Linked DNA regions of Anolis sagrei. The protein of the gene in region 3 binds, or shares a complex with, the protein of the main gene of each other region. Links are inferred from orthologs where the notes say so. Each region holds a gene or a part of one and is shown on either strand. Other genes may lie near its edges. The genes, in order: P2RY2, C3AR1, GNAO1 and HRH3.

Evidence for each region.
Region 1: the proteins of GNAO1 (region 3) and P2RY2 are in contact, whole or in part, in a cryo-EM structure (PDB 9K20), measured with the Homo sapiens proteins. The link is inferred for Anolis sagrei from reciprocal best matches to the Homo sapiens genes GNAO1 and P2RY2. Residues at the interface, in NP_066268.1 of Homo sapiens: Ala31, Lys32, Asp33, Val34, Leu195, Gln305, Glu309, Glu318, Ile319, Tyr320, Cys321, His322, Met323, Val334, Phe336, Thr340, Asp341, Ile343, Ile344, Asn347, Leu348, Gly350, Cys351, Gly352, Leu353, Tyr354; in NP_002555.4 of Homo sapiens: Asn66, Ser68, His130, Arg131, Gly134, Val135, Pro138, Leu139, Leu142, Arg143, Met221, Arg224, Leu225, Ala229, Tyr230, Gly231, Thr232, Ser233, Pro237, Ala239, Lys240, Lys242, Ser243, Arg245, Thr246, Leu308.
Region 2: the proteins of GNAO1 (region 3) and C3AR1 are in contact, whole or in part, in a cryo-EM structure (PDB 8I95), measured with the Homo sapiens proteins. The link is inferred for Anolis sagrei from reciprocal best matches to the Homo sapiens genes GNAO1 and C3AR1. Residues at the interface, in NP_066268.1 of Homo sapiens: Ile28, Ala31, Lys32, Asp33, Val34, Asn194, Leu195, Ser264, Asn316, Glu318, Tyr320, Asp341, Ile342, Ile343, Ile344, Ala345, Asn347, Leu348, Arg349, Gly350, Cys351, Gly352, Leu353, Tyr354; in NP_001313404.1 of Homo sapiens: Asn57, Asp119, Arg120, Val123, Val124, Pro127, Ile128, Gln131, Asn132, Arg134, Asn135, Tyr356, Ile359, Arg362, Gly366, Arg367, Phe368, Ser371, Lys374, Thr375, Val378, Leu438.
Region 4: the proteins of GNAO1 (region 3) and HRH3 are in contact, whole or in part, in a cryo-EM structure (PDB 8YN7), measured with the Homo sapiens proteins. The link is inferred for Anolis sagrei from reciprocal best matches to the Homo sapiens genes GNAO1 and HRH3. Residues at the interface, in NP_066268.1 of Homo sapiens: Ile28, Ala31, Lys32, Asp33, Val34, Lys193, Asn194, Leu195, Asn312, Pro315, Asn316, Lys317, Glu318, Ile319, Tyr320, Phe336, Thr340, Asp341, Ile343, Ile344, Ala345, Asn347, Leu348, Arg349, Gly350, Cys351, Gly352, Leu353, Tyr354; in NP_009163.2 of Homo sapiens: Asn69, Asp131, Arg132, Ser135, Val136, Ala139, Val140, Tyr142, Arg143, Ala144, Gly147, Ile221, Ile225, Arg228, Arg232, Thr345, Phe348, Arg349, Arg352, Val356, Leu360, Cys415, His416, His417.

The regions. Positions count from the first base shown.
Region 1 is NC_090023.1:6,920,398-6,928,279, reverse strand, and holds the start of P2RY2 (P2Y purinoceptor 2), read left to right. Parts: upstream 1-4,876; 5' UTR 4,877-5,183; intron 5,184-7,882. UniProt on the Homo sapiens protein: Receptor for ATP and UTP coupled to G-proteins that activate a phosphatidylinositol-calcium second messenger system. The affinity range is UTP = ATP > ATP-gamma-S >> 2-methylthio-ATP = ADP.
Region 2 is NC_090025.1:106,209,627-106,217,002, reverse strand, and holds the start of C3AR1 (C3a anaphylatoxin chemotactic receptor), read left to right. Parts: upstream 1-4,364; 5' UTR 4,365-4,502; intron 4,503-7,376. Other genes in the region: C-type lectin Cal-like, read left to right, coding at 12-152, 1,699-1,813, 3,255-3,322.
Region 3 is NC_090028.1:7,028,382-7,035,764, forward strand, and holds the start of GNAO1 (guanine nucleotide-binding protein G(o) subunit alpha), read right to left. Parts: upstream 3,006-7,383; 5' UTR 2,318-3,005; coding exon 2,200-2,317; intron 1-2,199. UniProt on the Homo sapiens protein: Guanine nucleotide-binding proteins (G proteins) function as transducers downstream of G protein-coupled receptors (GPCRs) in numerous signaling cascades.
Region 4 is NC_090024.1:232,444,384-232,452,337, forward strand, and holds the start of HRH3 (histamine H3 receptor), read right to left. Parts: upstream 3,014-7,954; 5' UTR 2,583-3,013; coding exon 2,333-2,582; intron 1-2,332. UniProt on the Homo sapiens protein: The H3 subclass of histamine receptors could mediate the histamine signals in CNS and peripheral nervous system. Signals through the inhibition of adenylate cyclase and displays high constitutive activity (spontaneous activity in the absence of agonist).

The DNA.
Region 1 (7,882 bases), on a different chromosome or scaffold from region 3:
ATGTTTGACCCTGAGCTGTAATTTTACCTATCTGTAAGCTTGCTTATCCAAGGCAGAAAGAATTTCGTGGGAGTAGATCTGCTTGTGTCTGAGCACAGGCAATTATTTTTTCCTATCAGCAGCAGCTGTTGGCAAGCAAAGCTCTCTCAATAGACAGGGATTCTGGGTCTCAGTAGACAGGGATTCTGGGACTTGTAATAACTGGAAATTTATTTTTCTTAATCACGTTCCTATAAGAACTCCCACGACAAACAGAAAATATATATCAATGATTGGTTGGGGGGGCGGGGCGCCAAAATACTGTTTGCTTACCATTGAAAATTACCTAGGGCCGCCTCTGGGTGGGACCAACACGTTTACTAATACATATAGTAAAAAATGAAGAAAAATAATAAGACACCAAAACACTTAAATACTTAATGTGCTTTAATCTGTGTTTTAATGATATTTTAATGATGTTATGTTTTATATTTTCACTGTGTCATACACTGCCACAAGCCACCAATTATTATCATTGTTGTTGCATTACAGAGAATAAAACCAAAAATCAAACATCTAAGCAAATACAAGTGACGCAATCCAGTTTCATAGGGAACAATAATTTTGCAATGAATTGTTTTAAGAAAAATCCAGCAGCCAGTTTTTAAAGAGTCGTGTTTAAACACAAATCAACAAGTACTACGGAGATGACGTATTTCCAAGAAGAGAATGAAGCCAGAAATCCAACAAAGCTGCAAGCAATTTCAAAATGTCCTAATCCATTGATTGAAAAAAAAAAGAGCAATGCTTGAGATGACAGCAAAACTTAGTTCGCTCTTATGTATTGATATTTAGGTATGTCTTGTATGTTAAAATAGTGTTTCTCAACCTGGGGAAGGGATCACGAGGGGGTTTCGGAGGGGTCACCAAAGACCATCAGAAAACACATATTTCTGATTGTGTTCCAGCAGACACCAACTAACCCCTCTCCAATGCCAGTGATACAGCTGAATGGTGTAACATTAGAAAAAGTTGATCATCTCCGCTACCTTGGCAGCCACCTCTCCACCAAAGTCAACATCGACACCGAAATACAACACCGCCTGAGCTCTGCGAGCGCAGCATTTTTCCGAATGAAGCAGAGAGTGTTTGAGGACCGGGACATCCGTAGGGATACCAAGGTGCTTGTTTATACAGCTATTGTCCTCCCAACCCTGCTCTATGCCTGCGAAACATGGACTGTCTACAGACGTCACATGCAACTCCTGGAACGATTCCACCAGCGCTGCCTCCGGAAAATCCTGCAAATCTCCTGGGAAGACAAGCGGACAAACGTCAGCGTGCTGGAAGAAGCAAAGACCGCCAGCATTGAAACGATGGTCCTCCGCCATCAAGTCCGCTGGACCGGCCACGTTGTCCGGATGCCCGACCACCGTCTCCCAAAGCAGTTGCTCTCCTCCGAACTCAAGAACGGAAAACAGAATGTTGGAGGACAGGAAAAGAGATTGAAAGATGGCCTCAAAGCCAACCTTAAAAACTCTGGCATAGACACTGAGAACTGGGAAGCCCTGGCCCTTGACCGCTCCTGCTGGAGGTCAGCTGTGACCAGCAGTGCTGCAGAATTTGAGGAGGCACGAATGGAGGGCGAAATGGAGAAGCGTGCCAAGAGGAAGGCGCGTCAAGCCAACCCCGACCGAGACCGCCTTCCACCTGGAAACCAATGCCCTCACTGCGGAAGAAGATGCAGAGCAAGAATAGGGCTCCACAGCCACATACGGACCCACAAGAATATTGGAAGACAATCATCCTCGGAAAGCGAGGGATCGCCTAAGTAAAGTAAGTAAAGTAAGATTGAGTTAGGAACCTCTTTGGCAGAGAGGGCTGTCCCATCTCTCTGCCTGTCCTTCTCTTCCTTTTTGGAAACAGACATCAAATCCTCCCTCCAAAAACCCTCCTCTGCTGTGATTGGCCAGCCTCTCAGCTAAGGGGAGGGCTGTTTCTGAGACTCCAAGTGGGGAGGGGAGAGCAGGCGTTCTTGGCATATGGCAGCGTGGCACATAGGCAAGGGAGAGTGTGTGAAGCTGAAGGTAGATTAGTGCCAGCAAGTTCCTTCAAGGCGGGGGCGTTCTATGTGGGAAGTTTATCTCTTTGATTGTAGGTGAACTATACATCCCTATAACTACAACTCCCAAATGTCAAGGTCTATTTTCCTCAAACTCCACCAGTGTTCACATTTGGGCATATTGAGTATTTGCACCAAGTTTGCTCCAGATTCATCATGGTTTGAGTCCACAGTGCTCTCTGGATGTAGGTGAACTACAACTCCCAAACTCAAGGTCAATACCCACCAAACCCTTCTAGTGTTTTCTGTTGGTCATGGGAGTTCTGAGTGCCAAGTTTGGTTCAATTCCATCGCTGATGGAGTTCAGAATGCTCTTTGATTGTAGGTGAACTATAAATACTAGCAACTACAATTCCCAAATGACAAAATCATAATTTTTTGAGTGATGGTCACTCCTTGTGTAGTGAGACATTTTGTTGTCAAATTTAGTGGGATTTGGTTAATTGGTTCTTTTGTTTTTAAGATACAGAGCATTTTTAGTGGCTCTCAACCTTCCGAATGCCTAGACCCCTTAATACCATTCCTCATGTTGTGGTGACCCCCAACCATAACATTATTTTTGTTGCTACTTCATAACTGTAACTTCGCTACTGTTACAAGTCGTAATGTAGATTATCTGATATGCAGGATGTATTTTCATCCAGTGGACCAAATTTGGCATTTGGGAGTTGTAGTTGATTTTTGTCATTTGGGAGTTGTAGTTGCTGGGATTTATAGTCCACCTACAATCAATGAGCATTCTGAACTCCACCAATGACGTAATGGAAACAATTTTAGCATACAGATCTCCCATGACCAACAGAAAATACTAGAAGAGTTTGGTGGGCACAGACCTTGAGTTTTAGAGTTGTAGTTCACCTACATCCAGAGAGCACTGTGGACTCAAACCATGATGGATCTGGACCAAACTTGGCACAAATACTCAATATGCCCAAATGTGAACACTGATGGAGTTAGAGGAAAATAGACCTTGACATTTGGGTGTTGTAGTTGCTGGGATTTATAGTTCACCTACAATCAAATAATATTCTGAACCCCACCAACAATAGAATTGGACCAAACTTCCCACACAGAACCCCCATGACCAACAGAAAACACTAGAAGGGTTTGGTGGGCATTGACCTTGAGTTTAGGAGTTGTAGTTCACCTACATCCAGAGAGGACTGTGGACTCAATGATGGATCTAGACCAAACTTGGCATGAATACTCAATATGCCCAAATGTAAACACTGGTGCAGTTTGGGGAAAATAGACCTTGACATTTGGGAGTTGTAGTTACTGGAATTTATAGTTCACCTACAATCAAAGAGCATTATGAACCCCACCAATGATAGAATTGGGCCAAACTTCCCACACAGCACCCCCATGACCAACAGAACATATTATGTTTTCTGATGGTCTTTGGCGACCCCTCTGACACTCCCTGGCAACCCCTCCAGGGGTCCCGACCCCCAAGTTGAGAATGCTGATATAGATGATTCTGTGATCCTAAGCTTGGTTAACAGTGAAAGGCTGGATGTCACGAGTGATGTTGATCGTGGCAGAATGAGATGGGACTAGATGAAATTGAAATTGAATCCAGACAAGACAGAGGTACTCCTGGTCAGTCGCAAGGCCGAACGGGGTATAGGGTTACAGCCTGTGCTGGACGGGGTCGCACTCCCCTTGAAGGCGCAGGTTCGCAGCTTGGGTGTGACCCTGGACTCATCGTTGAGCCTGGATCCCCAGGTTTCAGCGGTGACCAGGGGAGCATTTGCACAGCTCAGGCTCGTGCGCCAGCTGCGCCCGTACCTTGGGAAGTCTGACTTGGCCACGGTAGTACATGCTCTGGTCACATCCCGCCTTGACTACTGCAACGCTCTCTACGTGGGGCTGCCCTTGAAGACGGCCCGGAAGCTCCAGCTAGTCCATCGCGCGGCAGCCATGTTACTAACAGGAGCGGGACGCAGGGAGCATACAACGCCCTTGTTGTACCAGCTCCATTGGCTGCCGATTCGCTACCGGGCCCAATTCAAGGTGCTGGTGTTGGCCTACAAAGCCCTAAACGGCTCCGGCCCAAAATACCTGTCTGACCGCATCTCGGCCTATGAGCCCACGAGGGCCTTGAGATCGTCTGGGGAGGCCCTTCTCTCGATCCCGCCTGCCTCACAGGCACGCCTGGCGGGGACGAGGGACAGGGCCTTCCCGGTGGTGGCCCCCCGGCTGTGGAACACCCTCCCTGTTGACATCAGACAGACGCCCTCCCTTATGACATTCCGCAAGGGACTAAAGACGTGGTTGTTTGAGAAGGCGTTTGAGTAAGTGCTGTAACAATTGGCAATGGCGATTGGAACGGAACATGGATAACGAGACTGGATTGTGATTCAAATGATGAGACGTCGCGAATGATTTAGTGTAATTGTATTATGGATAGTGATGTTGTTTATTGTTGTTGTGATATTGTTTATGTTGTAAACTGATTTTATATGTTGTACACCGCCGTGAGTCGCCCTAGGGCTGAGAACGGCGGTCTACAAGTGCAGTAAATAAATAAATAAATAAATAGATGACCCTTGAGGTCTCATCCAACTCTAGGATTGTATGGTATGGTCCAATGGTTTCCCCTGAACCGGCTCAACTTGGAGAGCTGTCAGCCCGGTGCCGCTTCCTCTTTGCTTTGACAGCTTGTGGCAACTGGGTGTCGCATTTGCCACACTGAAGTGGGGAAGTGGATGTGGGATGGGCTGGGAAGGGATGTGGGTGTTCTCTCTGCCTCCCTCCTCCAACAGGATTCGGGGAAGGAGAGCATGAAAGGAGCAGGACAGCTGCTGCCGGGGCAGGGCCAGTCTGGGCAAGCCAGCCTCAGAGCTGCTCCTTGGGTGCCTCCTCCTCCTCCTTCTCTTTTTTTCTCCTCCATCTCCTCCTCCTCTTCTTTCACCTCCTCTCTTGGCGCAATAGCTGCTGCCTGTCGCTTTGTCCTGGACGGAAACATTGGAGGAAAGCAATGGGGACCTTTCCATGGACTTTGCAACACTTAAGGTTCCTGGACTGAACATGGAAAAGCAAGCAACTTGAGAAGCCTTCCCAGGAAATCCAAAAAACTGTAAGTTATGACTTGATGCGTGCGCTTCCTTTCTTGTATGTAACAGGTTGCTGAACATCTTGCACAACACGTTGCGGCCCAGTGCCAGCGATTAAACTCCAAAGATCAAGACACTTCTCGTAAAAGGTTGCAGGAGACGCCTCCAAACAGGGCGAAAGGTGTGACACTCTTGTTCTGTCCCTATGGAAAAACTCTTGGAGATCTCCTTAATTTTTATTCTGCCTCCTCCAGGTTCTGATAGCAAATCTGATCAGGGTTTCTATCTCTCCAGTCCTATTTTTAGCTTCTGTTTTCTTCCCCCTTCAGCTTGTAAATAAGTTGTGACCTGCCTGAAGTTTGAGAGAGAGGAGCAAAGCTGTGAGTGTGATTTACAGTTGCCAAGTGGAAGAAGGGACAGGGCTCCTAAGCCTTTAAGAGTTGGAATTGTGTGGAAGAGTTGTGCAAAAAGGGGAATTTGAACTGCTGGGGATTGTCATGCAACAGAGTGTACAAAATCCCCTCTTTTACATGGCTACTTCCTGCACAGGAGCCCCATCCTCTTGTTTCACTTGGCAACCTTAATGTAGGCATGCTTTCCTCAACTCTCCAGGCACGTGGGAGTGCATTTACACCAGTGTTTCTCAACTTTTCTAATGCCACAAACGCTTAATACAGTTCCTCATGTTGTGGTGACCCCCAACCATAACATTATTTTCATTGCTACTTCAGAACTGTCATTTCTCTATTGTTATGAATCGTAATGTAAATATCAGATATGCAGGATGGATATTCATTCACTAGACCAGTGTTTCTCAACCTTCCTAATGCCGTGACCCCTTAATACAGCACCTCATGTTGTGGTGACCCCCCAACCATAAAATAATTATCATTGCTATTTCCTAACGGTAATTGTGTTACTGTTATGAATCATAATGAAAATATCTGAAATGCAAGATGAGTTTGCATTCACTAGACCAAATTTGGCATAAATACCCAATAACGGAGCTCCATGCAGTCGTGTCGGCCTTGGAGGTGTCTATGGACAACACCAGCTCTTCGGCCTAGAAATTGAGCACCAACCCCCAGTCTTGAACATGACTGGACTTAATGTCAGGGGAAAACTTTTACCTTACCTTACCCAATATGCCAAATTTCAATACTGGTGGGATTGGAGGGAGAATTGAGTTTGTCATTTGGGAGTTGTAGTTACTGGGATTTATAGTTCACCTAAAATCAAAGAGCATTCTGAACCCCACCAATGATGGAATTGAACAAAACTTGGCGCACAGAACTCCCATGACCAAGACAAAATACTGGAAGTGTTTGGTAGGCATTGACCTTGAGTTTTGGAGTTGTAGTTCACCTGCATCCAGAGAGCACTGTGGGCTCAATGATGGATCTGGATCAAACTTGGCACGGATACTAAATATGCCCAAATGTAAACACTGGTGGAATTTGGGGGAAATAGACCTTGACATTTGGGAGTTGTACTAGTTGCTGGGATTTATAGTTCACCTACAATCAAAGAGCACTCTGAATCACACCACAGATAGAAATGGGCCAAACGTCCCACACAGAACCCCCATAATCAACAGAAAATACTGGAGGGATTTTGGATGAACTGACAGTGATTTAGGGGAGATGTAGTTCACCTAGATCTAGAGAGCACTGTGAACCCAAATGACTATGCCAAAGGGATTCTTAAGATCATCAGAAATATGTGTTTTCTAATGGTCTGTGGCGGCCCCTCTGACACCCCTTCGCGACCCCTTCAGGGGTCCCGACCCCCAGATTGAGAAACACTGCACTAGACCAAATTTGGCACAAGTACCCTATACGCTCAAATCTGAATACTGGTGGTTTAGAGGGGATAGATTTTGTCATTTGGGAGGTGCAGTTGCTGGGATTTACAACCTGCTTTGTCTTCAAAAAACAATGAGATTCAAATGCTCCATGAGATTCTTAGTGGATCACAAGCTGAACATGAGTCCACAGTGTGATGCGGCAGCCAAAAGGTCAACATGATTGTTGGCTTCATCAAGAGGAGTATAGTGTCTGGATCAAAGGAAGCCATAGTCCCCCTCAATTCTGCTTTGGTCAAACCTCTTCACTTGGAATAACCCTGTGTCCAGTTCAGGGTACCATATTTCAAGACGCCAAATTGGGAGGGATAGCCAATACTCCAGAGGACAGGAGCAGGATTCAAAACGATCTTGACAGATTAGAGAGATGAATGGCCAAAACTAACAAAATGAAGTTTAACAGGGACAAATGCAAGATACTCCACTTTGGCAGGAAAAACGAAATGCAAAGAGACAGAATGGGGGACAATGCCTGGCTCGAGAGCAGTACGTGTGAAAAAGATCTTGGAGTCCTCATGGACAACAAGTTAAACATAAGCCAGGAATATGATGCGGTGGCAAAAAAAGCCAATGGGATTTTGGTCGGCATCAATAGGAGCATAGTGTGTAGATCTAGGGAAGTCATGCTACCCCTCTATTCTGCTTTGCTTAGACCACACCTGGAATATTGTGTCCAAATCTGGGCACCACAATTCAAGAGAGATATTGACAACCTGGAATGTGTCCAGAGGAGGGCGACTCAAATGATCAAGGGTCTGGAGAACAAGCCCTATGAGGAGCGGCTTAAGGAGCTGGGCATGTTTAGCCTGAAGAAGAGAAGGCTGAGAGGAGATATGATAGCCATATATAAATATGTGA
Region 2 (7,376 bases), on a different chromosome or scaffold from region 3:
TCCTTTCTTAGATTGAGTGCCAGAGCTACGGCCGTGGGGCCCATCTTGCCTCTGTCCTCACCAAGGCAGAGACCCTTCTGGTGGCCGAACACATTTCCACTTACCAAACAGAACCAAGTAATGTCTGGATTGGGCTCCATGATGTTCGTCAGGTAAGCCTCTTTCTTCTAATAATCCAAGTATTCACTACTGTGAGAAATTCCTTATTGATGAAATTCTAGTAATTTCACAGTTTGAGTTCCACATTGATTTTCTCAGCAGTTTTCAATAGGAGTCCCAGTGCAGCAAAGGAGGGATGGCAGAATTAGACCTCTGCTCCTCATTCTAGTGCCCCCACAGGTCACATCTTAAGGCAGGGGTCCTTAAACTTTTTGAACAGAGGGCCAGGTCACAGTCTCCCAAACTGTTGGAGGGCCAGATTATCAATTGAAAAAAATGAATTCCTATGCACACTGCACATATCTTATGTGTAGTGCAAAAAAAAAAAAACCCAACACTTAAAACAATACAATAATTAAAATGAAATTTAACAAATATAAACTTATTAGTATTTCAATGGGAAGTGTGGGCCTGCTTTTGGCTGATGAAATAGGATTGTTGTTGTTGTTGTGTGCTTTCAAGTCATTTCAGACTTAGGTTGACCCTGAGCGAGGGCCAGGTAAATCACCTTGGAGGGCTGTATCCGGCCCCCAGGCCTTCATTTGATGACCCCTGTCTTAAGGAATGCAGGTCTTCTTAGTGGCTGCTCCCAGGCATCAAAATTTCTTTTCTAGAGAAGCTACACTGGAGTCATCCATGGAGGGTGGATGTTTCTCTTTTACCCATCTTTGGCAGGATTCATCTTTCACACTAACAATTTGGTGGTGACATTTCTTTGCAAGAAGATTTCCATTTCTACCTGAAAGCCTGCCCCCCCCCTTTTGTGTCAGAAGTGACTTGAGAAACTGCAAGTTGTTTCTGGTGTGAGAGAATTGGCCGTCTGCAGGACGTTGCCCAGGAGACACCCCGATGTTTTTGATGTTTTATCATCCTTGTGGGAAGCTTCTCTCATGTCCCCGCATGGGGAGCTGGAGCTGACAGAGGAGCTCATCCATGCTCTCCCTTGATTCGAACCTCCAACCTGTCAGTCATTCCTGCCAACGTAAGGGTTTAACCCACTGTGCCACCAGGGGCTCCTGCCTATTGATGCATATTGATGATGCATATTGATGGCTGCAGAGCCTTTCTTAACTCTAAATTTAGCATTAGAAGCAAGCATTATTAAGTTCAACAGAACTTACTCTTAAGATACTATGTGGTAGGTAGTCATGCCAAACCAAACACATTGGATACTACACTCTACACTGCTGCTATGTATGTATGTTATGATGGTGGTCCCACACATTTGTTTGCACTGCTGGGAAGTTCTTATCCACCAGACAATATTTCATGCATTCAAGGAAATTATATTTTGACATGGAATTGTCTCTACTGGTTGAGTCACCTTTGGGTTCGAGAAAGACAGGATAGAAATATCACAAATAAATAAAGAAGTAAATAATTCTGCAATGTGTGTGATAACCTTTTAAGATGCTGCAAATCTTTGGACTAGTTTTACAGCAGCAAATGTGACTTCCTCTTTGGTAACTCACTGAACAGCTGAGCTATGTAAATACATCATTCCCATCACTTCCTCAATCATGTATCTTCTTTGTACAGACCAGGAAATGGAGGTGGGCTGACGAATCAGTTTTCAACTACAAGGCATGGGAAAGTGGTCAGCCCGACAACTACTTTAACTCTGAACACTGTGTAGAACTCCGACTTAAAACAGGTAAACAAGCCAAGAAAGTATCAAGTATATCTAGTTTCCATGGTTTTATCAGCTGCAGTTCTAGCAAGAGTCCAGCCAGCAATGGCCAACTTGTCCAGCTTGGGGAGGTCACACAAGCCAGTGTGCCACAGTTCACTTACATGATATACAGAGTCAGCCCTTCCATTAGACAGAGTGGAGAAGCCTCCTTGTGAGGCATATGTTGGGGAGAGCAATGATAATTTTATATACCATATATTTAAGAACTTTGTGCACGAAACAAAGTTTATATATATATCAGAAAGCAAAGGTGTCCCTATCTTGGAGTATTTCAGATTTTGGAATTCCAGATAAGGGATCCTCAATGATTAAATAAAAAACATTCAGGACATAAAACAGTACAACACTTTTTAAAAAGCTCTCTCCTTAAAAGCCTTCAGTTTTAAAAATCTCTTGGAATAAATTGATTTCCATTGGCTGGCATACCCTTGAACTCTACAAGCTTTACATCACCGTACCAGTGTTTGATTTTTTTTTTGTTGTGTCAGGAGCGACTTGAGAAACTGCAAGTCGCTTCTGGTGTGAGAGAATTGGCCGTCTGCAAGGACATTGCCCAGGGGACGCCAGGATGATTTGATGTTTTTATTATCATCCTTGTGGGAGGCTCTCTCATGTCCCCGTATGAGGAGCTGGAGCTGATAGAGGGAGCTCATCCGCCGACTTCAGTCCTGACAGCACAGGGGTCCTGGCCACCAGGGGCTCCATCAGTGTTTGATCACCAGTGTTTGATGATTAACCATGGAAATAACAGGATCAGACAACAAAGGTTAGGTTACATGAGAGCCACTTTATGTTACCTATGACTTATTTAAATTAAGTTAAACCTGGAAAAAAATAATCTGGTGGGGAGCGGAGGAGAGAATCAAGCTGATGATGGTTCAGCTGAGGTCAGGCAGCAACATTTAACTATCTCGTGAACACACCCTGAGCCCTTTGGGCAATCCAATAATTTGGTTTCTCCCTGTCCATCCATTTTCTGGTAGGTAAACCCAGGCATACAAGAGGTGGCCGGATGTTCAATAACCTTTGACTCCATCCCCATAATATGAAACATTATAATGCTCTGAATTATAAGCAACAGACTCTGACTCCTATTCATGGGAGTCATTAAAACACCCCCCCCCCCCCAACAGTATCATCTCCATTCAAGTCCAGTTGTATGTAATTTTCTTCTCTATACCAGGTCATCCTTGTCACCTTCCAGTGACATTCTGAATTCTATTATCATTTCTCCAATTTACCTACTAATAGAAGTACTTAACAAATATGAGATCAAGAGGCTTTTCTGTTCTTTTAGACCTAGGGGTTGAAACTGGTGACAGTTTGACAATATCTTGGGAGTTTTTTTCCCAAAACAATAACAGAGAAGAAAATAACATGTGTTTCATCTCTTAATTTGTAGGTTTTAAGGAGTGGAATGATATCCAGTGCAAGAATCGCAATTCCTACATCTGCAAATACGAACTCTAGAGCAACAGGGGTAGCGCCATATTGGCAAATTGGATGGCTACTTCCTTGATAATAATTAACTACTTTTCACCATCTGAATCTATAAAAGATTACCTTGTCCCCTGCAAAGAACTTGATTTGTAGTCGCCCTCTCTTTCTGACTGTTGTTGACAACTACACTACAATGTGAAATTAATAAACAATGGTTTATGCATATATTCCATGGTCTCTCTCTCTCATTCTAGAAATTACTAAATCTACTCCTACAAAGGTTATCTAGAGGGTCTGCTTGTTGTGAATCATTATACACAAGAGGCAAATCTAATGCCCTGCTCTCGGTCCCACCGCCTTTGCAATCACGTTTGGTGGGGACGAGGGACAGGGCCTTTTCGGTGGTGGCCCCTCGGCTTTGGAACTCCCTCCTGATGGAGATTAGATCTGCCTCTTCCCTCCTGACGTTTAGAAAACAGGTAAAAACATGGCTTTGGGATACTGCGTTCGCAGGATGATGACTGAGTCAATAACTGCTGACCTTTCTGGCGGATGGCGATGAATTTGTAATTCTTTTGGACGAACTGGTTTTTGCTGTAATTTGTATGAATTGTATGAAGTGTATTTTAATGTAATTTATATTGATGACCTATAATGTTTTTCAACTTTTGATCAACAATTATCCCAAAGTCTTTTTTCATATATAGCACTGGATAGCCAAGTATCGTCCATCCTATACCCGTGGATTTGATTTTTATAACCTAAATAGAGAATGATGCATTTATCTCTGTTAGTCTGCTAGTTTCAGATCTTCTATTTTTCCAAGGTGATGATACCAAATTATCATTCTCAATCGATTGACTAAAGCAAATATAGTTGAGACTTTGTTAGCACTGCTATTCTGGACACTTCTGCAATTGGGATATTTTGCTTAATGGCATTTCCTCTGGCACTCAACTAAGTTCCATTTTTCTTTGAAAATAAATTTAAAAATAAACATGAAAGCACCAGAACATTGCAGAAGGGGGTATCCAATTCAGAGTAGGCCAGGCATGGTACACGTGGTAAGAGGCTCAATCTACTATTTCCTGGCTGTAACTGCCTCTTCCCCTTCTTCTCCTCCCTTCTTTGGCTCAGTTGGACAGAACAAGGTGAGAAGATAGACACTGTGACTGCAGCAACTGTGGATAGCCAGCCAAGGGAAGCAAAGGTATGGATATAACTCTAGTCAGTTGGCATAAGAAGAGAAGGAAATGTTTGTGGGATCTCAGAGGGTTTGTGGTGGAGGACTGGTAAGTGAGTGATGCAAAACGTACAAGTAACAGTCAGGATTTAAAAAGGGAAAGGAACAAAAGAATGGGTATGAAAAAGTTGTCAATCATTCTTGCTTTTTTATTTTTTTGGGAGTTTGTCAAGAATAAGTTTTTAGAAAGCCTTATTCTGAATCACATTTAGCCATATTTCGAAACGTCAAAACTGTATGTTGAAACAAACTTCATTCCTGTTCCTATTTATTAAGAAGCGGAGGAAGGAGACATCTAGGAATAGCAAGAAGCAATTACCATATAATTTTCCCTTCCCTATTTTTTAAAAAGTACATGTCGATGTATAGGAATACAATGCAAACAGTTTTGTATATGTGGCTTTTGTGTGGTGTGTGACACACTGTGGAAAGCGTTCTTTAGAAGGAGCTACAAAGTATGACGATTATGAATTATGAAACTTTTTTCCAACTTTGATTTTTATAATGCTGAACGTATGATATGTGTCTTAAGTTGAACCTCAAGCATTTAACCAACTTGGCCATCTACCCGAGAGGCACAAACTTTTGGAATCACCACTATTGGCTTGGATGGACTACTTGACAAGGAATGATGCAGCTCCCTATATAGCTACAAGTATCACTTGGTTTCGTCCACTAATAATGACAGGGATGATCACTGTCATATGGCAGTGGTTGGACTGGGAGAAGGTGAGAGCATGCCAGATAGAGAAGAGGTTTGTCAGAGGAGAAGGTCGCCCAAGAATGTCGTTGAAGAAAAATCATGAAGCAAATCATTTGGGGGATGTTGAGTTGTCCAATCTTGTATTCAGGCTCTTGCCTTTGAGAGTTCTTATAGAAGCAAAGGAAATGTAGGAAAGCAGAGAGACTGGTGGACAACCGGACATTGTTATAGATAGCTGAGTAAAATTGAACTGCACTCTTCCAAGGTTTCCTTTTTAAAAGCTGAAATTAAGATAGTGTCTTTTCGAAATTCATGTTAAAACTTCATGGTAGAAGGGCAAATCCCACTTCTCTTACCCTGAATGTGTACAGCTAGAAATACCTAATCTGTCTATCAAGATTACTATATTTAAGGCAAGTTAGTATATGGTCATGCCAGCTTATGCCCTTTCTGCATACCGGTTTATGGTCAATTTATATTCTTTTCCTAAACTGTACAGCTTCTGATCAGACACAGACAATTCAATTATACCTTTATGTTTTCACTCCTTTCAGTGATTTTGCTACGCATTGCTCCCTTAATAGTTGCAGACTGTCACTCATTTTTGTTTACTACTGGAAACTAGTTGTCTTTGTAATGATTAATAGGCATTCTTAAAAAAAACACATGCATCCTATGTTAGAAATGGCGACCTTCTTCAAACCTCCACTAGTTATTTGTTTGCATATAATTCAGATTTCTTACTGTATTGTATATGTGTGTATTGGTATGCAATTTTCCTTAACTCTAAGTTGTGGGAGGAGCTGCAGACCATGTGATCAGATCTGGGATAGTTCAGGACTCAGACTCCATTGGACTTTCAGACTAGACTGAGACTCTATTAGACTCTTAGAACAGAGACATACTTTGGGCCCTGTGTTGCCTGTGCAGAGAAACTACTTCAAATTCTATCTGTAACTGGACATAAATGTACCTATATGCTGAATACATGAAGTTTGTGAGTAAATCTACTACGTTATTTTTTTTTTAAGTCTACTTATTTTTGTCTCTTGAGAGCATGATTTAGACCAGGGGTCCTCAATCTTTTTAAACAGAGAGCCAGGTCACAGTCCCTCAAATTGTTGGAGGGCCAGATTATAATTGGAAAAAACATGAATGAATTCCTATGCACACTGCACATATCTTATTTGTAGTGCAAAAAAATACTTAAAACAATACAATAATTAAAATGAATAACAATTTTAACAAAGATAAACTTATTAGTATTTCAATGGGAAGCGTGGGCCTGCTTTTGGCTGATGAGATAACATTGTTGTTTTTGTTGTGTGCTTTCAAATCATTTCAGACTTAGGTTGACCCTGAGCGAGGGCCGGGTAAATGATCTTGGAGGGCTGTATCCAGCCCTCGGGCCTTAGTTTGAAGACCCCTGATTTAGACCAACATGTTTTATAAGGGAGAGTAGATATTTTTTGAGCAACTGAAAGAACACTTCTGAAACTCTGTTACATGTTTTTGTGCACTGGCATATCTTTGTCCCTAACAGTTCAACGAGATATCTAGGTATATCAGTTTAACAGCTGAGAAATCTAATTGCCTTGCATGAATACTACTGGATATTTATCACTAAGACAAAGTTTACTCAAAGGAGTTTTTAACTCTTCTCAGGGAGATTCCTGATTTTCCCAAAACGGTGGTGAATGCCATTTCCCAAAGGGTTATGTGCTGGTACAGTTGTACCAGGAGCTCCATTTCTGTTTGCTTTTGCATTTAATGTTTGTTGCAGTCCTAAGTTTCAGGGACTCTGCAGATAGGTGGCTTCTTTTGGCTGCAATCATAGGGCAAGCCACCTGTCAATTATAGTAAGGTTCCCTGGTCCCGCCCCTTTTTGAGTTTTAGTGGGAACAGGAGCCATTTTGAGTTAGTTCTCACAGAGAAGCCTTTCGCACAGGACATAGAACGAAGTGGCTCCTGTAGAAAAGCTTCGTTTTTTACAGCTTGGCTGGGGTCATACAGCCTTACAGCTTGGTCAGGGAGAAAAGGCCCACAGCTTGGCTGAGGGACTTCAGCCGGCCACCACCGAAACCTGAACTCCTTCCTTTTCCCTGGAAGTCTACAAAGCTCTGCCTGGTAAGGGTCTC
Region 3 (7,383 bases):
CACACACATATATATTCCCATACGCTTCATGGTAACCAAGAAGGATGTATTTCAAAATATCTATATCTGTGTAGAGAAAGATATATAGCTATATATTCCTAGATGCCTCATAGTGCACAAAGCCAAGAAGAATGCATTTAGTAATATAATGTACAATAATATAATATTTAATAATATTATATAATATTAATACCCTCTTTCTCATATAGATAGATAGATAGATAGATAGATATTAATCCCCTATCTCTCTCTCTCTCTCTCTCTCTCTCTATATATATATATATATATGGAAATGGGGGATTAATATTGTATTATATTATTAAATATTATATTATTGTACATTATATTATTATAATGTACAAATTATATATATATATATATATATATATATATATATATATATATATATATATGAGATCCATGGTGCACAAAGCCAAGAAGGATGCATTCAATTATATATACATATCCCCCTTTCTATATATGCCCCATAGTGCATATATAGAAAGGGGAAATATATATATATATATACACACACACACATATATTTCCCTTTTCTATAGATGCCCCATAGTGCATATATAGAAAGGGGGAATACACACACACACACACATATATATATATTTCCCTTTTCTATAGATGCCCCATAGTGCTTATATAGAAAGGGGGAATATATATATACACACACACTTCTCTATCTATCTATTTATCTATCTACACAAATCGAATGCCCTGGGATGTACAAAGCCAAGAAGGCTGCATTTCATAATCCATCAATCTCAATCTCTCTCTCTCTCTCTCTCTCTCTCTCTGTATGTATGTATGCTATCTATTCTATTAATCTATTCTATGTATCTATTCTATCTATCATATCCATCTGTCTGTCTATCTATCTATCTATCTATCTATCTATCTATCTATCCATCCATATATTCTATCTATTCTATGTATCTATTCTATCTATCTATCCTATCTATCATATCCACCTGTCTATCTATTCTATCATATCTATCTGTCTGTCTATCTATCTATTCTATCTATCTATTCTATCTATCTATCTATCTATCTATCTATCTATCTATCCTATCTATCATATCCATCTATCAATCTATTCTATCTATTCTATCTATCTATTCTATCTATCATATCCCCATCTGCCTATCTATCTATTCTATTCTATCTATCCTATCTATCATATCCGTCTATCTATTCTATTCTATTCTATTCTATTCTATTCTATTCTATCTCTCTATCCTATCCTATCCATCTGTCTATCTATCCTATCCTATCTATCTACATATATCCAATGCCCCTGGGTGCACAAAACGAAGAAGGATTTCATAATATATAGGGAGAGGGAGGTATATAGATAGATGGATGGATGAATAGATAGATAGATAGATAGATAGAGAGATAGAGAGATGAATGAATGGATAGATAGATAGATAGATAGATAGATGGATGAATGGATGAATAGATAAATAGATAGATAGATAGATAGACAGATAGATAGATGAATGGATAGATAAATAGATAGATAGATAGATGAATGGATGGATAGATAAATAGATAGATGGATGGATGGATGGATGGATAGATGGATAGATAGATGGATGGATGGATGGATAGATAAATAGATAGATAGATAGATAGATGGATAGATAGATAGATAAATAGATAGATGGATGAATGGATGGATAGATAAATAGATGGATGGATGGATGGATGGATGGATAAATAGATAAATAGATAGATGGATGGATGGATGGATGGATAGATAGATAGATAGATAGATGAATGGATAGATAGATAGATAGATAGATAGATAGATAGATAGATAGTGATGGCAAATAGAAGAAATTGAGAGGTGGGAGAGGGGAAGAAGACCACACCTGAGGAAGAGAGGGATGCTCATATCTCACCTGGAGAAGAAGAGACATAGCGGTATCTATGTACGTCCGCATATACACATACATACATGTATCTCTATCTATGTCTGTGTGCCTGCCTCCTTACCCAGCAAGAGGAGACATAGCGGTATCTATGTACGTCCGCATATACACATACATACATGTATCTCTATCTATGCCTGTGTGCCTGCCTACTTACCCAGCAAGAGAAGACATAGCGGTATCTATGTACATCCGCATATACACATACATACATGTATCTCTATCTATGCCTGTGTGCCTGCCTACTTACCCAGCAAGAGGAGCTTGACATCCTTGGCGGCGGTGATGCCATCTTCCTTGAGGTTCTTCTCGATCGCTTTGCTCCTTTCCAAGGCGGCTCTCTCCTCCGCGCTGAGGGTACATCCCATGGTGGTGGGCACACACACAAAAAGGGCGAATCCCCCCCCTATAAAACAACAACAAGAATACAAAAGACCCCTTTTTCCTTCCCTTCTTTCCTTGCTCCAAAGGCAGGGCGAGCTCCAATCAAAGCCAGGGAGAAGGAGAAGACCACCGATGGACCAAAGCCAGGGAGATGCTGGTGCACCAAAGAAAACCAATCTCCCCTTCTTGCCTTCTTCTCTCTTCTTCCCTGGCAGACAATCTCTCCTTAATTCCTTCCTTTCCTTCTCTCTGCGTCTTTTTTTTTTGCTCTGCTTCACTCCAAACGTTGCATCCAAGTGACAGCTTCGAATTGTCGGGGAATTGTCGGGGAATTGTCGGGGAATTGTCGGGGAATTGTCGGGAGCAGCTCAGCCAAACACAACACAATGTTGCAAGGATTTATCTTTGTTGTCTCTTTCTTATTCTTCTTCAGTCTCTTCCTTCTTCCTTTCTTCCTCCTTTCCCCCTTTCTTTTGGGGTTTCTCTTTGGGTGGGGGGGATCTCAAGGGGTCCCCTCCTGCTCCCCCGAACTTGGGGGGGTCTCTAATGGGCGATGGCTGCGAGCGAGGGCATCGTCCAAGGCGATCCTGACGGAGAGAGAAAGCAGAGAGGAGGGAGGAAAGGAGGGAGGGGGAAAAAGGAGGGAGGGAGGAAAGGCAGGGCGAGAGCGCCGCCTGCTTAGCGTTGCTCCTTCCAACGGAGGGGAGGGGGGAAGAGAAAGAGAGAGAGGGGGGGGGGAAGCTGACTCTATGACGTCAGAGCTCTCCCTGTCTCCTGCGCATGCGCCCCACTCCTAAAGGAAAAGGTGGGGGGAATCTAGAGAAAGAGAGGCCAAAGGATGGGAAGGAAAACACCCATTTCTAAGCAGAAGATCATTCATGATCCAACACGATTTGGGTTCCTGGGTTCTAAACCCCATTGCCTCATTGGTCCTATCATAAAAACATTATAATATAATATAATATAATATAATATAATATAATATAATATAATATAATATAATAATAGTATAATATAATATAATATAATAATATAATAATAATATAATATAATAATATTATAACATATAATATTTAATAAAATAAAGATCAAATATAATGATAATAATATAATACTATTACTTACTTTGCAACATAAAAATATAATATAATATAATATAATAATGATATAATAGAATAATATTATAACATATTTTATTATAATTATTATAATAAACCCCATTGCCTCATTGGTCCTATCATAAAAACATAATATTATAATATTATAATATAATATAATAATATTTAATAAAATAAAGCTCAAATATAATGATAATAATACAATACTATTACAACATAATAACATAATATTATAATATTATAACATGTTTTAATATAATAGAATAATAAAATAAAATATAATAGAATAATGATACAATAGAATAATATTATAACATATTTTACTATTATTATAATATAATAATAAACCCCATTGCCTCATTGGTCCTATCATAAAAACATAATATAATATTATAATAGTATAATAATATAATATAATAATATTATAACATATACTATTTAATAAAATAAAGATCAAATATAACGATAATAATACAAGGATATTACAGTATAATAACATAATAAAATATAATAAAATAATATTATAACATATATTAATATAATATAATAATATATAATATAATAATGATATAATAGAATAAGATCAAAGCATATATTAATATAATTATAATAATAAACCCCATTGCCTCATTAATCCTATCATAAAAGCATAGTACAATAATGTAAAGATATAATATTAATATAATAATATAATAACATATATCAATATGATTATGATATATTAATAAATCCCATTGCATCAGTCATCCTATCATAAAAATATAATATAATAATATATTATAACATATATTAATATAATTATAATATAATAGTAAACCCCATTGCCTCATTGGTCCTATCATAAAAGCATAGTATAATAATATAGAGATATAATATTAATATAATATAATATAATATAATAACATATATTAATATGATTATGATATATTAATAAATCCCATTGCATCAGTAATCCTATCATAAAAATATAATATAATAATATATTATAACATATATTAATATAATTATAATGTAATAATAAACACAATTGCCTCATTAATCCTATCATAAAGACATAATATGGTAATATAAATAGAAATATGGTAATATAATATAATTATAGTATTATAACATATATTAATATAATTATAATATAATAATAAACCCTGTTGCCTCATTAATCCTATCATAAAAACATAATATAATAATATAATATAATAATAATATATCATATTAATATAATTATAATATATTCGAAACCCCCTTTGCCCCATTGGTCCTATCACAAATAATGTAATAATATAGTAGTATAAGAAAAATATTATATAACAATAATAATATAATAATATAACATATTAATATAATAACAATATTATATTAGAATATATTCTAAACCCCCATTGCCTCACTGGTCCAATTATAAAAACATAATATAATATAATGACATATATTAATATAATATTATAATGCATAATAATATAACACAGAGGCTGCAGTGGCTCAGCGGTTTAAACCACAAAGTTGCAAAACTTACTGACCAGAAGGTTGGTGGTTCGACTCCGCTGATGGAGTGAACTCCTGTTGTTAGCCCTAGCATCTGCCAACCTAGCAGTTTGAAAACATGCAAGTGTGAGTAGATCAGTAGGTACCGCTTCTGTGGGAAGGTAAAGGTGCTCCATGCAGTCATGCCAGCCACATGACCTAGGAGGTGTCTACAGAAAACACTGGCTCTTTGGCTTAGAAATTGAGATTAGCACCCCCCCCCCCCCCCCCCCCCGAGTCAGACATGACTAGACTTAATGTCAGGGGAAACCTTTATCTTTAATTATAATATTATAATATATTCTATTATAACATATAATAATAATAATAATAATAATAATATATTATTATTATTATTATTATTATTATTATTATTATTATAGGGTTGTTGTAGGTTTTTTCGGGCTATATGGCCATGGTCTAGAGCAGTGGTTCTCAACCTGGGGTCCTCACGTGTTTTTAGCCTTCAACTCCCAGAAATCCTAACAGCCGGTAAACTGGCTGGGATTTCTGGGAGTTGTAGGCCAAAAACATCTGGGGACCCCAGGTTGAGAACCACTGGTCTAGAGGCATTCTCTCCTGACATTTTGCCTGCATCTATGGCAAGCATCCTCAGAGGTAGTGAGGTTTGTTGGAACTAGGAAAAGGGGTTTATTTATCTGTGGAATGACCAGGGTGGGACAAAGGACTCTTGTCTGCTGGAGCTAGGTGTGAATGTTTCAACAGACCACCTTGATTAGCATATAATGGCCTGATAGTGCCAAGAGCAAACTTTTGTTGAGAGGTGATTAGATGTCCTTGTTTGTTTCCTCTCTGTTGTTGTGCTGTTGTAATTTTAGAATTTTTTAATACTAGTAGCCAAATTTTGTTCATTTTCATGGTTTCCTCCTTTCTGTTGAAATTGTTCATATGCTTGTGGATTTCAATGGCTTCTCTGTGTAGTCTGACATGGTGGTTGTGAGAGTGGTCCAGCATTTCTGTGTTCCCAAATAAAATGCTGTGTCCAGGTTGGACAGGAGGGATCCTCTCACCTCTGCAGGAGTCTACCGTGTACCATGCAGCTGTGGACAAGTCTACAGAGGGACCACCAAACGCAGCAGCATTGCCCAGACACGAATCAAGGAACATGAAAGGCACTGCAGACTACTTCAACCAGAGAAGTCAGCCATAGCAGAGCACACGATGAACCAACCTGGACACAGGTGTGAAAGAGGTTGTAACCTAACCCAAAACATCTGGTCAATAATACTCTACTCCTAAGTTAGCAATCCATTGCTGGTGAGGAAAAGCAAACAGAACAGAGTCTCCAGTTTGTGTATTTATTTAGAAAATTCATTCCCCGCCTTCTAATCCCGAAAAGGAGTCTCAAGCTGGCCGAGAGCCATCAAAAATACATTCAATACAAAAGAAAAGCAGAGAGCAACAAAGCAAAGCCAACGCAATCAGCAAAGAGTAAACCTTAGGATGGGTCAAAAGTCTGGTTTTATAACGTGCCTGAAACCCATCAAAAGAAGAGAAGAGACTTGCTTCTTTGTGTCTTCCAGCTGGATAAGTCATCAGGATGATATGCCCAGCAGAGCATGGCTTCCTTGGTGGCACGGAATATCAGCCCCACAAGGGAATCCAATTTGGAATTTTGCTATCTTAGCGGAGGTCTCTGACTGTTACGAACTGCTGGAGTCCAAGCTGAGTGCCTCTATAGTCTATAGTCGCCTGTGCGCATTCAGAAGAAAGCTGAAAGGCAAAAGCTGCACATCGCAAGTGCTGAACCTGACTCAGCACATAGAAGATGGCTTTGAAAGGCAGCAGATCACAGGGCTGTCTTCATAGACCTGTCAGCAGCCTATGATACTGTGAACCACCGCCTCCTCCTGAGAAAAATGTATAATATCACAAAGGACGACCACCTCACCCGCCTCATAGGAAGCCTGCTACAAAACATGAGCTTTTTTGTTGAATTCCAGGGCCAAAGAAGCAGATGGCGGAAACAGAAGAACGGCCTGCCTCAGGGGAACGTGCTTGCTCCATCCATGGTCAACATCTACACAAATGACCAGCCACTGCCAGAAGGGACAGAGAGCTTCATCTATGCTGATGATCGTGCCATTACCACTCAGGCAGGGAGCTTTGAGATGGTTGAACAGAAGCTCTCCGAAGCTCTAGGTGCCCTTACTGCCTATTACAGGGAAAACCAACTGATCCCTAATCCCTCTAAAACACAGATATGTGCCTTTCACCTTAAGAACAGACAAGCATCCCGAGCTCTGAGGATTATTACCTGGGAAGGAATCCCACTGGAGCATTGCAGCGCACCCAAATACCTGGGAGTCACCCTGGACCGTGTTCTGACCTACAAGAAGCACTGCCTGAACATCAAACAAAAAGTGGGTGCTAGAAACAATATCATACGA
Region 4 (7,954 bases), on a different chromosome or scaffold from region 3:
AAGAGGATTTTGCAAGACCAGTCGCTCTAGTTGCTGCGTGGTTTCGAGGCAACGGTGTAGTAATGGTGAGGCTGTGGGCAATATTTTCATTCTTGCAGACCACTGGTGATCCATGGACCACAGGTTGGGAATCATTGTTCTAAAATGGTTTGAACTAGAGCAAACCTTTGCAATCAATAGGCTGGGACCCATGGGATTTGTGCCTTGAAGAGTGAGAAGAGGAAGGACTGGACTCTTTATCTGCTCCTACTTCCTCTTGGGAAGTGATTTGGGGAGAAATGTCTTCTCCTTAGCAATCTAATCTCACTATTCTTCTCCTTCAGGCATGGGCAAACTTTCTAGCTTGGGGACACATGACATGGCAGGCTGGAGCAGGGTGGGTGGGCTGGGAAGAAAGTAGTTCTCCCCAAGCCCCTTCCCTGCCTTTTCCTCTTCTTCTATTTCAGAGGCAGAAAGTGAAGAAAAGATGGGAAATGTTTAGATCCCAAAAGAGTTAGCCTTGGTCAGGATGAGATGGTGGGAGGGAAAGAAAAAGTGTATCCATTAGACCCCATATTGCCTACTCCTGGTGTATAATTGTAGAATCCTAAAACTGAAAGAGACCCCCAAGGGCCATTCAGTCCAATCCCCTGGCATGCAAGGATGCACAATCAAAGCACTCCCAATAGACAGCCTCAGCGGAAGTGCTTCCAGAAAAGGAGACTCCATCATATTCCCAGGCAGCCTACGCCACCCTCCAATAGCTCTTAATCTCTGGAAATTCTTCCTAATCTTTTCAGTCAAACCTCTTTTCCTGCCAGTTGAAATCATTTCTTCCTTGTGCCCTGGTCTCTAGAGCAGCAGAAAGTCAGTTTTCCCCCTCCTCAATGGGACACTCTTTGAAATCTTGAAACATGGTTCTCATGTTCCCTCTCTTTCTCTTCTCCCAGCTAAACATCCCCCAGGAGGAAAGGAGGAAGGGAGAGAGGAAAGAGAGAAGAAAGGAAAGACAAAAGGGAAGGAAGGAGGAAGAGAGAGTGGGAAGGAAGAAGGAAAGGGGGGAAGTAAGGAATGTAGAGTAGAAGGGAAGGAAGGAGGGAGGGAGGAAGAGGGAGGTAAAGAAGGAAGAGGGAGGGAGGTAAACATCCCCCAGGAGGAAAGGAGGAAGGGAGCGAGGAAAGAGAGAAGAAAGGAAAGACAAAAGGGAAGGAAGGGGGAAAGAGATAGATGGAAGAAGGGAAAGAGGAAAGAGGAAGAGAAGGAAGAGTAGAAGGGAAGGAAGGAGGGAGGGAGAAAGAGGGAGGTAAAGAAGGAAGGAAAGAAAGAAAGAAGGAAGGGTGGAAGGGAATGGAGGGAGGAAAGAGAGAAGGAAAGCAAGACAAAAGAGAAGGAAGGAGAAAGAGGGAGGTGGAAGGAGGGAGAAAGAGGAAGGGAAGGAAGAAGGGTGAAAGGATGGAAGGGATGGAAGGAAGGAGGGAGAAAGAGGGAGGTAAAGAAGGACGGAAAGAGAGAAGGAAGGAAGGGAATGAAGGGAGGAAAGAGAGAAGGAAAGATAAAAGGGAAGAAAGGAGAAAGAGAGAGGGGGAGGAAGAAGGAAAGAGGGAGGGAAGCAAGGAAGGGTTGAAGAGTGGAAGGGAAGGAAGGAGGGAGGGAGAAAGAGAGAGGTAAAGAAGAAAGGCAAGAGAAGGAAGGAAGAAAAGGTGGAAGGGAATGGAGGGAGGAAAGAGAGAAGGAAGGAAAGACAAAAGGGAAGGAAGGAGAAAGAGAGAGAAGGAAGGAAGAAGGAAAGAGGGAGGGAAGGAAGGGATGAAGAGTGGAAGGGAAGCAAGGCGGGAGAGAAAAAGAGGGAGGTAAAGAAGGAAGGAAAGAGAAAAGGAAGGAAGGGTAGAAGAGAATGGAGGGAGGAAAGAGAGAAGGAAGGAAAAATGAAAGGGAAGGAAGGAGAAAGAGAGAGAGGGAAGGAAGAAGGAAAGAGGGAGGGAAGGAAGGGATGAAGAGTGGAAGGGAAGGAAGGAGTGAGGGAGGGAGAAAGAGGGAGGTAAAGAAGGAAGGAAGGAAAGAAGGAAGGAAGGATAGGATGGTGAGAGAGAGGAGAACCTGAGAAAAGAGCCCAAGGGGCCACATCTGGGTTTGCCCATACTTGGTCTACTTAATGGAGGCATGGGCCAACTTCGGCCTCCCCTCCAGGTGTTTTGGACTTCAACTCCCACAATTCCTAACAGCCTACCGGCTGTTAGGAATTGTGGGAGTTGAAGTCCAAAACACCTGGAGGGAAGGCCGAAGTTGGCCCATGCCTGCCTTAATGTCTTTAGATGAGGCAGGTCAATAAGGAAGGCGAGGCGGGGTACTTTACCTACTAGGAAATCCGAGATGGCCAAGTTGAGGAGGAAGTAGTTGTTCTGCGTCCTCAGGCTGGAGTCCACCACGAAGGCCAGCATCACCAAGGCGTTGCCAACCACGGTGGCCACGATGAGCAGGGCCATGAGGACGGCCAGGATGATGGCCCACAGGGTGGAGAAGCGTCCCAGGAGCTGCTCGCCTCCCCCGGGGGGCTTCTCGGGGGTCTCGGAGGAGCCGTTCAGCGGCCAGGAGGAGCTGTCCATTTCAGCACCACAGAGGCTCCGGCGCCTGGCTGGGGGTCCCTGCCTGGAAAGACCTGCCCGGACGCTCCCCGACAGCAAGGCTCAGAGATCCCTCTCTCTGCATGGCAAGGGCGAAGATACGCTTGCACTGCCAGCCCCCAAAGTCCACACAGCAAGCCCTGAAACGGATCTTCCCCAATGCATTCCCTTTTACGCACAGCCGTCGGCGATGAGAGGTTCTGCCTTCTTCTTTCTCCAGTCTTGTTCACTCACTCTTTTCCTTCTCGTTCCAGGCAAAGCTGCTTGTCTTTCTCTCTCTCTCCGTTCTTCTTCTTCCTTCTCCTTTTCTTTCCCCGAGTTTGGGAGGGAAGGAAAGAGGAGGGTCGGGAAAGGGACGGAGTAACTCCTCTCTTCTCCCTGGCTGCTGCTCTGCCTCCGAAGGAACTGGCAAAACCTCCCAGCAAAAGAGCCAGGAGCGTTTCTTTCCAAAAGGTGGAGCTAAGCTTCTACGCCCAGAGCTTCACAAAATCATCTCAGCTGGAAGAGACTCCCACCAGGACCAACTGAGACTGAGACCACAGGAGATGGGCAGGCAGCTCCTACCTGCACAATAGGCTCCGAGGCTGGATGGCCATCTGTCAAGGGTGCTTTGAATGTGATTTTCCTGCTTCTTGGCAAGGGGTTGGACCGGATGGCCCATGATTCTATGATTCTATGATTCTAATAATCTCAGCTGGAAGAGACTCCCATCAGGACCAACTGAGACTGAGACCTCAGGAGATGGGCAGGCAGCTTCTACCTGCACAATAGGCTCCGAGGCTGGATGGCCATCTGTCAGGGGTGCTTTGAATGTGATTTTACTGCTTCTTGGCAAGGGGTTGGACCGGATGGCCCATGATTCTATGATTAATAGAATCATAGAATCATAGAATCAAAGAGTTGGAAGAGACCTCATGGGCCATCCAGTCCAACCCCCTGCCAAGAAGCAGGAATATTGCATTCAAAGCACCCCTGACAGATGGCCATCCAGCCTCTGTTTAAAAGCTTCCAAAGAAGGAGCCTCCACCACACTCTGAGGCAGAGAGTTCCACTGCTCTCACAGTCAGGAAGTTCTTCCTCATGTTCAGATGGAATCTCCTCTCTTGTAGTTTGAAGCCATTGTTCCGCGTCCTAGTCTCCAAGGAAGCAGAAAACAAGCTTGCTCCCTCCTCCTCCCTGTGGCTTCCTCTCACATATTTATACATGGCTATCATATCCCCTCTCAGACTTCTCTTCTTCAGGCTAAACATGCCCAGCTCCTTAAGCCGCTCCTCATAGGGCTTGTTCTCCAGACCTTTTATCATTTTGGTCGCTTTCCTCTGGACACATTCCAGCTTGTCAATATCTCTCTTGAATTGTGGTGCCCAGAATTCTAGATTCTATGATTCTATGATTCTAATAATCTCAGCTGGAAGAGACTCCCATCAGGACCAACTGAGACTGAGACCTCAGGAGATGGGCAGGCAGCTTCCACCTGCACAAAAGGCTTCCTTCTCCCTTTCTCTTCTTCTTACTCAGCCCTAGTTTGAGGCCACACTCTATAATAGGCATGGACAAGCTTCCGCCTTCTGGGTGCTTTGGGCTTAAACTCCCACAATTCCTGGCCCCAGGCCCTATCCTTTTCCCCCTCAGCCACTTAAGCAGTATCAGCCATGGATTAAGGTTCCAGGTTTTAGCCTGCCACTTTTGGACTCTCGTTTGCCTATGTTGAAGTCCAAAACACCTGGAGGGAAGACCGAAGGGCGCCTACCATAGATGCAGGTGAAACGTCTGGAGATAATGCTTCTGGTACATAGCCATACAGCCTGAAAACTCACAACAACCCAGTGATTCCAGCCACAAAAGCCGTTTCTTGGTTTAAAATGTTGGAATGTATCCAGAGGAAAGTGACTGAAATGATCAATGTTCTGGAGAACAAGCCCTATGAGGAGCGGCTTAAAGAGCTGGGCATGTTTAGCCTGAAGAAGAGAAGGCTGAGAGGAGACATGATAGCCATGTATAAGTATGTGAGAGGAAGTCATAGGGAGGAGGGAGCAAATTTGTTTTCTGCTGTCCTGGAGACTAGAAAGTGGAATAATGGCTTCAACCTACAAGAAAGGAGGTTCCATCTGAACATTAGGAAGAACTTCTTGACTGTGAGAGCTGTTCAGCGGTGGAACTCTCTGCCTGGAGTGTGGTAGAGGCTCCTTCTTTGGAAACTTTTAAACAGAGGCTGGATGGCCATCTGTCAGGGGTGCTTTGAATGTGATTTTCCTGCTTCTTGGCAGGGGGTTGGACTGGAGGGCCCATGATTCTATGATTTTATGATTCTATGATTCTAATAATCTCAGCTGGAAGAGACTCCCATCAGGGCCAACTGAGACTGAGACATCAGGAGATGGGCAGGCAGCTTCCACCTGCACAAAAGGCTTCTTTCTCCCTTTCTCTTCTTCTTACTCAGCCGTAGTTTGAGGCAACACTCTATAATAGCCATGGACAAACTTCCACCTTCTGGGTACTTTGGACTTCAACTCCCACAATTCCTGGTCTCAGGCCCTTTCCTTTTCCCCCTCAGCCGCTTAAGCGGTATCAGCCATAGATTGAGGTTCCAGGTTTTAGCCTGCCACTTTTGGACACTCGTTTGCTGAGGTGTACCTCTGTAGATCTTAGAAAGCTGTTTCTTGATTTAAAATGTTAGAATGTATCCAGAGGAGGGCAACTAAAATGGAGAACAAGCTCTATGAGGAGCGGCTTAAAGAGCTGAGCATGTTTAGTCTTCAGAAGAGAAAGCTGAGAGGAGACATGATAGCCATGTATAAATATTTGAGAGGAAGTCATAGGGAGGAGGGAGCAAATTGTTTTCTGCTGCCCTGGAGACTAGGACGCGGAACAATGGCTTCAAACTACAAGAGAAGAGATTCCATCTGAACATGAGGAAGAACTTCCTGACTGTGAGAGCAGTGGAACTCTCTGCCTCAGAGTGTGGTGGAGGCTCCTTCTTTGGAAGCTTTTAAACAGAGGCTGGATGGCCATCTGTCATGGGTGCTTTGAATGCAATATTCCTGCTTCTTGGCAGGAGGTTGGACTGGATGGCCCATGATTCTATGATTGTATGATTCTATGATTCTATGATTCTAATAATATCAGCTGGAAGAAACTCCCACCAGGACCAACTGAGACTGAGACCTCAGGAGATGGGCAGGCAGCTTCCACCTGCACAAAAGGCTTCCTTCTCCCTTTCTCTTCTTCTCAGCGCTAGTTTGAGGCAACACTCTATAATAGGCATGGACAAACTTCTGCCTTCCAGGTGCTTTGGACTTCAACCCCCACAATTCCTGGCCTCAGACTCTTTCCTTTTCCCCTCAGCTGCTTAAGCGGTATCAGCCATAGATTGAGGTTCCAGGTTTTAGCCTGCCACTTTTGGTCTCTCGTTTGCTGAGGTGTACCTCTGTAGATCTTAGGAAGCTGTTTCTTGATTTAAGATGTTGGAATGTATCCAGAGGAGGGCGACTAAAATGATCAATGTTCTGGAGAACAAGCCCTATGAAGAGTGGCTTAAAGAGCTGGGCATGTTTAGCCTGAAGAAGAGAAGACTGAGAGGAGACATTATAGCCATGTATAAGTATGTGAGAGCAAGTCATAGGGAGGAGGGAGCAAGCTTGTTTTCTGCTGCCCTGGGGACTAGGACATGGAATAATGGCTTCAAACTACAAGAAAGGAAATTCCATCTGAACATTAGGAAGAACTTCCTGACTGTGAGAGCTGTTCAGCAGTGGAACTCTCTGCCCCGGAGTGTGGTAGAGGCTCCTTCTTTGGAAGCTTTTAAACAGAGGCTGGATGGCCATCTGTCAGGGGTGCTTTGAATGTGATTTTCTGCTTCTTGGTTGGACTGGATGGCCCACGAAGTCTCTTCGAACTCTATGATGCTAGGGTTTGAATCCCCTCCCCCATTCTGTTGCCTTAGAAAAAAGCAGTGGCAAAACACCTTTGAATAAATCTTGCAAAGTAAATCCTATGAGGGGACTGAGCTGAACCTGAAAGTCACACAACAACCACAACCACAATCTCAACAACAAAAGGCTGCCTATCAATAGCTACATATGACTTCCCATAATAAGGGAAACGTATTGGTGAATAACAGCAGGGAAGTGCTCTTGTGTTCATATTCTGTTTGTGAGTTTCCCATGAGCATCTCTCTGGCCACTGTGGGAACAGAATGCTGAACTCAGTAGTCTGTTTTAGCCTGACACTTCTGATGTCCTTTGCTATTGTCCCTGCTTTCATTTCCATTTTACAGATAGAGAAAAATGTGTGCACAGGATACTATACTTGTGGATTCCAACAGAACTAGAATCCAAACCCTTACCTTTCAGATATAAGTCTGACTGAGATAAATAAGATCCAAAATACCAAACAATACTTCATTGGAGAAAACTGTGTGCATAAAAGAAAACATGAGAGGAGACATGATAGCCATGTATAAATATGTGAGAGGAAGTCACAGGGAGAAGGGAGCAAGCTTGTTCTCTGCTTCCCTGGAGACTAGGACGCAATGGAACAATGGCTTCAAACTACAAGAAAGGAGATTCCATCTGAACATGAGGAAGAACTTCCTGACTGTGAGAGCCATTCAGCAGTGGAACTCTCTGCCCCGGAGTGTGGTGGAGGCTCCTTCTTTGGAAGCTTTCGAGCAGAGGCTGGATGGCCATCTGCCAGGGGTGCTTTGGATGCAACATTCCTGCTTCTTGGCAGGGGGTTGGACTGGATGGCCCATGAGGTCTCTTCCAACTCTATGATTCTATGATTCTGTGTTCGGTGTGTTTCTTGCTGTGTTGGGTGTATGCACTTGTGGTTCTTCTTTACTGTTTAAAAACCCAAGAGGCATGCACAAAACTCTGTGAGTCTTCCATCCCTGTCATCCCAAGGAGAGTGACTATGCCAAAGCCTGTTAGAGTTAGTGGGCCAAAGATAGTGTTGTCCTGAGGAGTCTGAGATAAACCTCTGTGGGAGAAAAGGCCTTATTTTGATTAGGCCTCACAGTGTGAGGTAGGCCTTAGTGTATGATAGAAGCCTCATCTGCATGTATCTCTCTTTATGAACCATCTTCTGGGGAGGCCCTGCTCTTGGTTCCGCCGTCTTCATGGGTTCAGTTGGCGGGGACAAGAGATAGGGCCTTCTCAGTGGTGGCTCCTCAGCTGTGGAACAGAGTATTCCACAGAGTATAGGTAGTAGGAAGCAATGGTATTGAGCCACGACATGAGCAAAGACTCAGATGCCTCTCATGTCTGTGAGTTGGAAGGCTGAGGACAACCACTCGTTTGCATCTAACTGATATTTAAGGTGCAAGAGAATAATTCAAGTGGTGATAACTGGGG